Linked DNA regions of Drosophila melanogaster. The protein of the gene in region 1 interacts with the protein of each later gene in a pairwise test. Each region holds a gene or a part of one and is shown in the gene's direction. Other genes may lie near its edges. The genes, in order: CG4328, grh and lbl.

What was found.
Region 2: the proteins of CG4328 (region 1) and grh interact in a two-hybrid assay, tested with the Drosophila melanogaster proteins (one large-scale study listed by BioGRID).
Region 3: the proteins of CG4328 (region 1) and lbl interact in a two-hybrid assay, tested with the Drosophila melanogaster proteins (one large-scale study listed by BioGRID).

Annotation. Positions count from the first base shown.
Region 1 is NT_037436.4:12,294,224-12,297,979, reverse strand, and holds the start of CG4328 (uncharacterized protein), read left to right. Parts: upstream 1-1,856; 5' UTR 1,857-2,109; coding exon 2,110-2,146; intron 2,147-3,756.
Region 2 is NT_033778.4:17,800,148-17,803,903, forward strand, and holds the start of grh (grainy head), read left to right. Parts: upstream 1-2,098; 5' UTR 2,099-3,244; intron 3,245-3,756. UniProt on the Drosophila melanogaster protein: Transcription factor that binds a CNS-specific regulatory element of the Dopa decarboxylase (Ddc) gene. Also interacts with sequences adjacent to other transcription units, including Ultrabithorax (Ubx) and engrailed (en).
Region 3 is NT_033777.3:21,432,371-21,436,126, reverse strand, and holds the start of lbl (ladybird late), read left to right. Parts: upstream 1-1,993; 5' UTR 1,994-2,159; coding exon 2,160-2,862; intron 2,863-3,756.

The DNA of each region.
Region 1 (3,756 bases):
AGGCGATGACATCGGGATTTCGGGATGGATGGAGGAATAGATGGATGGATGCAGGGATGGAGGCGGTGGTGCCTCCAAAACCGCCGCCCTTGAGTTTCCATGTCTAGGCTCTGCGTAGACAAAGTGCCAAAAGTTTGGAAGCCTTTGCGAGATGAAGCTGAAGGGAGGAGAGAGAAATGTATATGAAAATTTCAAAATCACAACATCACAACAGAACTGCAACAATTACTCATCATCATCAGCTACAAATATAGATTTCTTAGAATATTGTTCAATAAATATTATTTATAAGATTTAACATAATACACATAGATATCGTTTAAGGTGCCAACTAAAAATATATAAGGTTAACAGTTAGTAAATGAACAAATTAAACAAAATAACAATTATTAATAATTACAAAATAAATTATTATGAATTACACAATACAGTTTAAATGATCTTACAATTTTTTATAAAAATGTATTTTTAAATCTTGCATTACTTAGCAATTGTTTTTGGCACTTAGTTAAACAAATGCCAACATTTATTGTCACTCCTTTATTAAGAAATTACATGTTTCCTACCTGATATAAAAGAAGCACAACAAAAGAAGTACCCATCGCAAAATCCCCCAGGATCAAGCATTTAATGTAGCTCCATTGTCCTTTAAATTCCCTGCACATCCCCGTGCTCCGTGTACTGATTATGAATCGCAAAGATTACCGCACATAACTATTATCATCGTCGGAGTTGGGAAAAGTGGGCTGGGAAAGCGAAAGATGGCTGGTTGGTTGCCAGTTAAATGGTTCGCCCGCACACTAATTGTGAGTAACACGTTCGCGTTTACGAAACTTTTCTGGGAATTTTCGTCGGAAAAGAGGCCAAGAGCCAGGAGTTTCGACCAGACAAGTCCTCATCTCGGCAACTGGGTACTGGGAACTCTGAACTGGAAGCTAGACATACAGTCAGCCGGCAAAGTGCTTAGACATTAAAGTTTTTGGCGCCCCGGTTTAATAGACCAGAAAATTCATTTTGGCCAGGTTTAAAGGGCCACCGGCCACCCTCATTAACAGCTAGCTCTTTGAGCAAAATTCTCCTGGACACTGGGCCGCAAACCTTAATTAAAGCAGCGGGACTGGTCTTTAAGCTTAGTCCTTTTTATAGCGTTCGAAAATCAATAAATTTAAAATGTACAAGCCACTGCGGGAAAAGGGAATAAAATCCTAGCCAGCTCACAAACACACACACACACGGTAAAAATAAAAATAAGAAAAGAAGGACAACAAAATTCCAGCCATTGAGGGAGAGTCCTGTTTTTTTTTGGGGGGGCGGGGATGTTGTTGCTGAGGCGACAAAGCAAGCAAGAAATCGCCGAGCCAAACATCCTTTTGTCAATACAAAATACGTACGTACAACAAAACAAATAAATGTGCCCACGAGCAAAGACAAAGACAAAAGTCAAAAGTGCAAAATGAAAAATCAAACAACAACAACAACAACAAAACCAGCAAAACACAAAAAGCCAAAACAACTCAGAAGCGCCACCCGGATTCAAAATCGGCATTAAAACGCATGAGATGAGATGAGATGGTATGATATGGGGGTTCCGATCGACGCATGCGCCAAAAGCTGGCGAATCTCACGGAAGCTGGGGAAAGGCAAATGGCTGGCTCTCAATGGCTTGCACGGGGATGGAGCCAAAAAGGATATGGGAGCACAGGATGTGCCATAAAATGGCGCACACGCACACACACACAAAGGCAAACAGTGGGCACTTCTCCTTCGGGTTGGAGAGAATTTCCTATCTCGGCAGCAGATGCTTGTGCATTTGGCCAAAGAAGAGCAAATGATTTTTAACAAATTTCATTAACATCAGAGGTCCGTAATCATTCAAGCATCGCGTTTCGTAACAGGGCCAGGTCAGAAGTCCGATACTGGCCGCCCCAAAACAACAGTTGCCAACTGCATTTCGAGTCCCCAAATGTGTCCTTAGGCGTCCTGAAAGCTGTGCTCACAAAATGTGCAAAGATACGTAGGAAAATCGCGTGAAAAGCCCTGAGAAAATTTCATAAATGTCTGTGAACGTGATTATATAGTTTTTCTATTCCCGAACTGAACGATTCCAAAATGATCGACGAACACCATCCCATGCAGATCGGAATGTGTAAGTATGGGCAAACCCGAGGAATATGAAGTCTGAATCTATTCCAATAACCGACGGCATTACAAGCCCAACATTCCCAATCCCGTCGGCATTTTTCTATCAGTTTATTAATTATGTTAAAAAGTGCTCATTAATTTATGGTATGTAAATAGCTTCAAGTAGAAGAGTGCATATATTTCATTCACTTTTTCTCTAGTTTAATCATAGTTTAAATATTAGCATCAAGTGATTAGCTCAAATCAAATACCTTTAGATAAGTGAATTAGGAATAAGCCACCATGTATCATGTGTTATATCGGTAATTGTGATATCACAATTGCACACTTTTCAAAGGTATAAAGTGGATTTTCGTTTTGGCCATTAGTGATTTTGATTTATAACAGTCAAAGAGATCAGCACATTTTATACAAATTTTATTCAGTTGAATTGGTTTTAAAAATACTAACTTAATAGCAGCATAAATAAGTTTTGCACATGAAATTATTAGAAACCAAAGATGAATTATTTGTGAAAATTTGCCATTTTCTTGCTAAATTCTACTTCGCACAAAGCAAATCCCAAGTTTAAACATTGCATCTCAACACTTTTGCTTCAATTTGCCTTCAGTGAATGCTATTTAGCACCCAGAGTGGCAAGTATGCATATGACCGACTGCACACACGTCCACTCGAATCCGACTGGCTGAAAGCCAATGAAAATTACAACATATTTTCCAGAGCAAAGCAAATTTTGACTTCTGTCAGAGATTAGGACAAAACAAAGCATTTGCGCTGCGATTGCTGGCACAACAAAACGGCAATGGCACCATAACTCTATTGTCTACTCAAATCCGATTAAATAAAGCGCTGTCAGTTGCTGCCGAGCGAACTGCTGGCAACTGACAGCGGATTCGGAGGCAGCACACAGCATCCTGGCAGCGCAGCCGACATCCTGGCAAGCATTTCCAAGGGTTTCCGCTTACCCACTCACTGTCGTCGACTGCCAACATATGCCGCCAGCAGCCAGCCGCCAGCCGCCGTAACCGAAATCCTGATCCCCTCCAGCCTCATCCTCATGCTTATTTGCTAAGCCCGAGCATATTTTCCGTAAGGGTGGAAATCCGCCAGCTAAATGCCCTCGGTTAGCCCCCGGATTCATTGAAATTCGTTTATAATCTACATAGTTATGAGCACTGCAAGGGGTGGCATTTGCAACCCGTCCCTCGATTTCCACTGCACATTAGAATCTAATTAGAGCGTGGGCAAGTGGAAGTGCTATCAATGTCGGCTTTACACTTGTCGTCCCAAAATCCTCGAGCTCTATTCTCCGACATGTCCGGCAAACATGTTGGTATATTTTCAAATGTCAAATGGCAATGACAGAGCACTAAAAGTGTAACAGGTGTGGTTGTTGAGCGGATTATTCCGCTGCACATCTTAGGAAATAGCTTCCCGCAGTTCCAAGTGTCACAAGTTAATGGGTATCGGGAATGGGGAGATCAGGACCTTGGAAATTGGGTTAAACACTGCTGGAGACTTCAGTTGCTATGAATAAGTAGCATATTGAAAAGTTTATAAAGCCAAAATACACCCAACGAACATAGCACACATGTCAGCAATATTTTGTTACAC
Region 2 (3,756 bases), on another chromosome or scaffold:
CCGCGGATCGGTGAGAATCCGAGAACCAACATCAACGTTTCCATGGTTTGTTACATTAATTTTAGGCAATCAGGTTAGACAAAAATGTCCTGGACAAAGGGACGCGCGGAGGGATGGAATGTTTGTTTGTGAATGCTTCTCTTCGGTTTCTTACTTTTGCATAACGGACAGATATAAGACTTTTTGAAGAAAAAAACCAAATATATAAGTACATTTAATGCGATTGTTGTTTGTTTTTAGTTATATACACCGCCACACTCGCACACAAAACACACACACCGATACATGCATACATATATATACTACTTAGCGGTATATGTACAAAAACGTAATCAAGCATTAGTGAAATGTTTCGACCAGTTAAAAACCACAAATTAAATTTATTACATGAAAATCAACTAATGTGTAAACGCAAAAACGGCAAAATCAATAAATAAAAAATGGATTAAACTAAGCCTAAATTTAGTTTTAAACATTTAATATATTGCAACAATAAACCGAAATGAAAATAAAACTCAAATTCAAACTTGAGATGCAAGTGTTTGTAATTGGGCTCCTGGAACTCAACATATTACATTAAATATTTTTAATTTTATCTTTATTTATTGTTACTTATCATCATGAATGTACTTTTTAAATATTTACTGTAAAATTGCATTTTACATAAATATTTTACATTGCGTAGAATGTCTAGTGCTTCAGTGAAAACTAGCGCCCGCTGCTTTACGTTCTTAACCACAGTTCCACGCGTGCGCAGCGCCAAAAGACAAACAACGTGAATTGGTGAGTGCGGGATCCAAGTGGGGGGAGCTCGGAGGAAAGGAAGCTGGGGGGAGTCACCCTTTACCATGGCGGAAAGCACACAAGCACCGTCCGTCGGTTCGTCCGCCGATCCACACGACACAGCGCTGATTGCCGCGCCGCCTGGCGAGGTGAGGTTGTAGGAGCCCGACTGAGGTTAACCGAAAGCCAGGCCGAGAGAACGGAACAGAGAGCGGCGGAGGCTGCGGCGGCACGGCAGCTACTTGGCGTTTTCGATTGTGGTACATGCACAACTATTTTACGTATGTATGCCACACGGAGAAAAAAATCCTTCATTTCACAGTGCTAACAATTCGAGTTGATTTATTTGATTTTATGTTAAATATATGCAATATTCGTAAATTTTTTTAATATTTAATCATACAAAGTGCTTTAGTGATTTAGCTTGTGTATAGGAAACCTATCAACAGTATTTTATATAAGAATTAAGAGTTGAACTATATTAATTATCTGAACTGCTTAACCGCGGAATAGTTTTCAGAAAGTGCATCTTTGTATCCAGTAATTTTTTGCAGGGACTTCTCTTGGCATGCGGTGATCTCGGTCTTTCTCTCCACCTCTCTCCCGCTGTTGTGTGTGTTTGTTTCTCTACCTGATGCCCGATTGCACTACCACTTTCACGCGGTTTACAAGCCGAATGACAACAACAAAAACAGAACAACAAGGCGGCGAGTTCGAAAGCGAAGTAGAGTGAACCGAGCAGCGAATTCGAATTTTCGACGATGAATGCAATGCCGCAGCACAGAAATAAACGCAAAGTCCGGGAGATACGAAATGCAGGAGCGGTTTGCCCGTGTCGAGGGTGGCTGTGGCTCTCTTTCTTGCCCTCTCTCTTTCTCTCTCTTTTGATCTGCCATCTCCCTTCGCCGCAAGTGCATGCTGAAGTGGAAGGTTCGTTGCCTAAGTCTTTTGTACCTGCCTGCGTTTCGGCCTCTGCAGGTGCACCCACACACACACACACAGATGGAAGCACTGGGCTACCTGTGTTTTAGATCGCACTTGTATGGGTGTTTGGGAGTGTAGAGACAACATCATCGATTCGAATGAATTTGAGTGGCGCTGCGCTGCCGGCGTCGCTGCCGCGTTCGCTCAATATCAGTTACGAAAGAGATGAAACCATAAAAAGCAATAATAATCGAGCGCTCTCTAACCAGCGCCGCGAACACAGACATCACCTTGCCACCAATACAACTGCACGACGACGTCGGCAGAGGTGGCAGCAGCGGCGGCAGCAGCACATTCAACAGTTGAACAATCTCCAATTGACTCTTTGGGCATTATAGCCAAGAGCCGAGATCCAGCGACAGCGACGACAAGTTTTCCGCGCACACGGAAAGTCAGCAAGTTAATACACCGAAAATATATAGTTTCAAATCCGACTAATCGTTTCAAATCGAAATTACCTGTGAGTGCGCGTGTGTGTCGCGATATTTGCGAAAAATCCAAAAGTTTCTACGCCAAACAAACAGCAAAAAGTCGCGCTTAAACTTTTTCGAAATTAAATAAAACACACACACGAATTTCAGCCACGAAGAGGAAGAGAAGGCTGAAAAAGCGAAAAAAAACCTCGTGTGTGTGTGCGTGTGTGTTGAGTGCGAGAGTATCTGTGTGTGTGTACGTGTGCATGTCTCTCGGAGAGCGTGAGCTTAAAGTGTGCCTGTGTGTGTGCGCTTGCGAGCTGGAATGAGACGCCATCAAAGCTGAGCAGCGAATAATAAAATGCAAAATAAAAATAGTGATTAATAACAGCAGCCAGAACCAGCAGCAATAACAAATGCTAGTGCGGAAAGCGCGTAAAAAATAGTGAAAATACTCATAGAAAAATAGAAAAAACAACAACAAATTGGCTTGAAAACGCAAATGCCAGGCGCAACGCCCCCGAACCGACCCGCCCCCTCAACTTTTGCGCCCTCCAGTAGCAATAGCAGCAATATGAGCAGCAGCAACATCAAATGTTAGGCCAAAATGCACAAACCGCCAGCAACAAAGGCAGCACCAAGCGAACGAAACAACAACAGCTCCACATACCACAAAGAGTGGCACATTAGAAGCGGCCAAAAGCAGCCAGCCGAGAGCATTGTGTAAGCCAAAGGCCCAGAGAGCCAGGCTAAAAGCCCCCAGACGCACAACAACAACAACAACAACTAAAACAGCACAAAGAGTGGCGAAAGGTGCACCCACCAGCAAAACAGCAACAACGGAGCAACCAACAACAGCAGCAGCAGCAGCAGCAGCCACATTTCAGTTACAGCTCCAGACTCCCAGGTTGCAGACTCCCAAAGCAAACAGACTCCAGTCCACGATCCAGCTCCAGTTCCACCGATCCGATCCACTGCTCCAGCGTGCTCGAGTGCCATAGATCCTCACCAAGTGCCAAAATCCGCATCCTGATCCCAAGAGCTCAAGGCACCCCGGCCCAAAAGTGAGTAGTACTTAGCCTACCAAGAAGTAATTATAAACGCATCAGGCTATGTAGCCCTGGTCGGTTCATGGAGGGATTACACCGTCAGAAATATAGCACCCTATTGACCATTTGGTTTTCGGCTTATAGATCCCTTTTTTCGGGAGATTCCATCACAATAGCTGGTATTCCCAATAAAGAGAGCAATAAAAGCGGGCATTTTTTGGGCACTACTAGGGTGTAGAAACTTTTCAAAAATAAATATTTTTCAAAACTTGATATTTTTAAAAAACATATGGTATTACCAAACTATAAGATATATTTTAGCTAGATTTATACATAGTACGTCAAGTTGATTCGATGGAGTTAATAGAAAAATGGTAATTGGATATTATTTCGATATTATTTGACAACGACAATCTCATAGAAATATTTTTAAACAATTTTGCTGGAGATGTAGGCATAAAATCCATTTAGTTCGTGCGGTTTTAAATTAAAATGCATTCTGCATGTTTTTTTAATAAGTTTTATTA
Region 3 (3,756 bases), on another chromosome or scaffold:
GATCGGTTGAATGGGAATGGATTTGAGTGCCGGCTCGAGTGGTTCGCTTCCTAGGGGCGATGGCTAATTATGATTGACAGGGCGTGTCTCGTCTATTGAGGCGCCCAATTAAGAGTCGTTTTATAATTGATTTTGAATATGAAGGCAATAGCGATAGCGAATGTTCCCAAGCCCCGTCAATTTCTCACTTCCAAGGCAAGCGAAAGGAGAGAATGCCCTGGCTCGTCAACTTTAGTCAGTCAAGTGTAGGCATTAATCAAACATCGCGGCCATCTTGCCACCAAAATAGGGGGCAGTCGAAGGGATTGGAGAAGGGCCCTTATGCAAATTCAGCGTCATAAATTGCGATGTAGGGTTCGGGTAAAATACATCTAAACAACACCCTTTCAAGAGACTGAATAAACTGGATTTTATATTAACATACTGTGCTACTCATTTTGTCAGCTGGGTACCTGTGTACTTTTGCTGGATCAAGTTATTATTTTGTAATTTTATACGTTAAACATTAAAAGCTAATTTGCCCATACTATGTAGTGTAAAAGTCCAATTTGTTGTAAGCCCTTGATGAGCCCAATAATCATTGGTAATTGATGCTCCGCGCTTTAATAAACAGATACAAACACAAATTTGTTGAAATTGCCACTTCCCCTGATTTCTTTTCCCATCTCGAAATAATCAATTATACTCGTTTTCAAAGGGCAGTGTAGAACCCATTATCGATTACGGCTCGCCAGTTACATCATTTCACTTAGCCGACTCTTCAGTCACATTCCCACCGGCAAAGGGCGCAATGCAGTTAAATAGACATTTGCATGCAAAATTCAAGGAAAAGCGAGAAATAAAAAAGAAAACCAGGACAAACAGCGGAGCGAAATTGAATAAAAAACTGACACTGACAAACAAACGAAGCGAGGCGCATACAGGGCGCATACGTGATACAACGAGCGGACCAAAGTTGCAATCAATTTGGAAATGCATTGAGTTGAGCTGTGGAGTGGGAAGCGAGGGAAGTGGCAAGACAAACGAATGTGTGCCAGCAAAATGCACTTAAACAAATGGAAATATAAATGGGAAAATATAAAATAATATAATCATAAATTGTGTGTAGAGAAACTAACTAACTAACAAGATGCAGCTAGTTATTAGATCTAACAACGATCTCAAGTTAACAAGTAATAAATGTGAAGAGCAAAGTAACTGTCATGTTGTGCCATTTATAGGTTATTACTTTTGAGGTGCAGAATTCGTTCGCTTTTTAATTTATGTTGAGGAAGTTTGAGGGAGAAAGACATTTTTACATTACTATAATATTTTTCATAGGCACATCTATTTATGACAAATAAACCTCTTTCAAAAAGACGTTCTTGAACGAAGGATTGTCAGTTCGGGGAACTGTTTTTCCCAGTGCATCAGAGGTCTCGAAACACGGATTCGAAGAGGCTTGTTTTTCCAGTGGAAAATAGATGAGGAGTCGAAGCCAACGGTACAACGAGACATCATTATTGATGACAATTGAGTGGGCCAAAAGAGAGCTGCGAAAAAGCGGGTGAGCCAACAATTACGATAATTAACGCAGTCAGTCGCCTGGAAAGCGACGGGAAAGAGAGGGAAATAGTGCCGCCCCAGAGAGAGAGCGAGAATGAGAGAGAGAGAGAGAGGGAGGAAAGAGAGCGCATGTCAAATTGTACAAATTAATGACGTTCGCACGTTGACAGCGACTTTTGGTCGGGTGAGGGGGTCTGTATGGCCCTCGACCAACTGCTATTGGTCCTCTGGTTAGCTCTCCCTCTCTCCATCTCTCTCTTTTCTGCTGGCACGCCCCCTTGGCGAGAGCGAGGCGGCGTTTCCAATTAGACAAGCTGCGCAGCTGCGCGAGTCCGTGACGTCATGGGTGCCAACCAGTTTGGAGGCCCCAAAAAGCAGTTGAGAGAGCTTGGCCAAGAAAGAGAGACAGAGAGCCGAGCAGCATTAGCATCGCATTCTGGCCACGAGCCATTTTCGTTGTTGGTGTTTGTGTTGCACGTTGTGCCGACGTTTTTCGTGTGACAGCCGCGCGTTTTGCCGACGCGTTTTTAATCGCCCGTAGAAAAGAGTTTGGAGCTAAGCCGTAAGGATACAGCCAGGATGTGCTGAGTGGCCAAAGGAAAATACACCTAGAGATGCCGCAAAGAACTCCCAGTCCCGCTAACTCTGATGTTTCGGTGGGTTCGCCCAGTCCACCGCCTCTGAGATCGTTGAATATGAAACGATTGCGGCTTTTGAGGAGTCCTATTAGCCTGGAACATGACCGCCAAAAGTCATCACCCGTCAGGGTCAAGAGCTTTTCCATTGCCGATATCCTGGGGCGAGGGCATGAAGAGGATCGTGTGGAGAAGAAGCCGGAGAGAATTGCCATTCCCAATGCTTTACCAGGAGTACCTGCTCCATTGGCTCTGATCAACGAAAGATTGCAAATACCCTTGGTGCCGAATTGCCCTCCGCCGGCTGCACTACATACATTTTTATCGCCCGCTTTGCTCCACAGCTATGAGCAGCGACTGGCCTGGGACTACCAGCGCCAGCTCCAGGAGCACTTCCAGGCACAGGCGCAACTCCTCCGGCAGATGACCCTGAATCCCGCGATCATTGCCTCCGAGGACGGCAGTTCAGAGCGTTCCCAGCGATCAAGCAGCAGCAATGGCAGCACCGAATGCTGCAGTCCCACCCAGGCGGAAAAAGTGGAAAAACGTTCCCAAGAGGACAGAATGGAGGTTCCTAAGAAGTCGCCCGAGGAACAACCAAAGGGGGCCAGCAAATCAAGTGGAGACACTCCCTTGGATGCCCTCTTCCAGCTGTCCACCAAAAACTTTGACGAAGAGCAGGGTGAGTAGTTTTCAAGAGAAAATATATTCCTCTAAATCCAAACAGAAGAAGACTTTGCTTTTAAACTGCGGAACCCAGTGGACAACCAAAAATCATATTCTTCATATTTACTATATGTAAAAAAGTACAAACAAAATTATAGTGCAGAGATAATAGATATTTCATCAGCTTTTTCTCAAGTTTTATCAACACCCCTGAGTATATGAGCTTTTTGTTATATATGATTGGAATATCTTCAACATAAAAATATCCACAAACTGTAGAATTACTTACTCCGCGTTCACCTCTGTGTGCACAACCGCAATCAAATTACATTTTAATATAAACTGATTTCCCAACGAGACCCATCATAACCATTAGCCTGGCCAGCGATTGATCAATTGTTGTCATTACGTCTTGATGAGATTCTGCTTAAGGCGTAAAAACAGTAGTGAGGTCAGCCTGCTCGTCCGAGGTGGCTAAATCAATTTCAGGCCAGCCGGCTGGCAGCTCGCTCGGCATCGCCTTTGATGGCAATTGCCTTTCCCAGACCCAGACCCAGTCCCAGTCCCATACCCATACCCAGATCCACTCGAAGGCCCCAGCCCGGTCATATGATGATGCTCTAGCTGCGGCGAGCTGCTGCTCCAACTCGAACTCAGACTCCAGCTGATGGCTGATGTCTGATGGCTTTGGCGCATGCGTATCGTTCGGCATAATTTGCTTAGCGGCGTTGATTTCTCGTTAAGTCGCAGACGCAAACCGATTTATCCCACACTCGGAATAAAAACAGAAACTGCCGGGAGTCACTGGGAAAACTATTCCTCATAATATCTTCGTTTGGAAAACACATCACCTTGATACAAATTATTGTACAAACAACTAACTAAGAGTATTTAAAAATATCCTGAACGG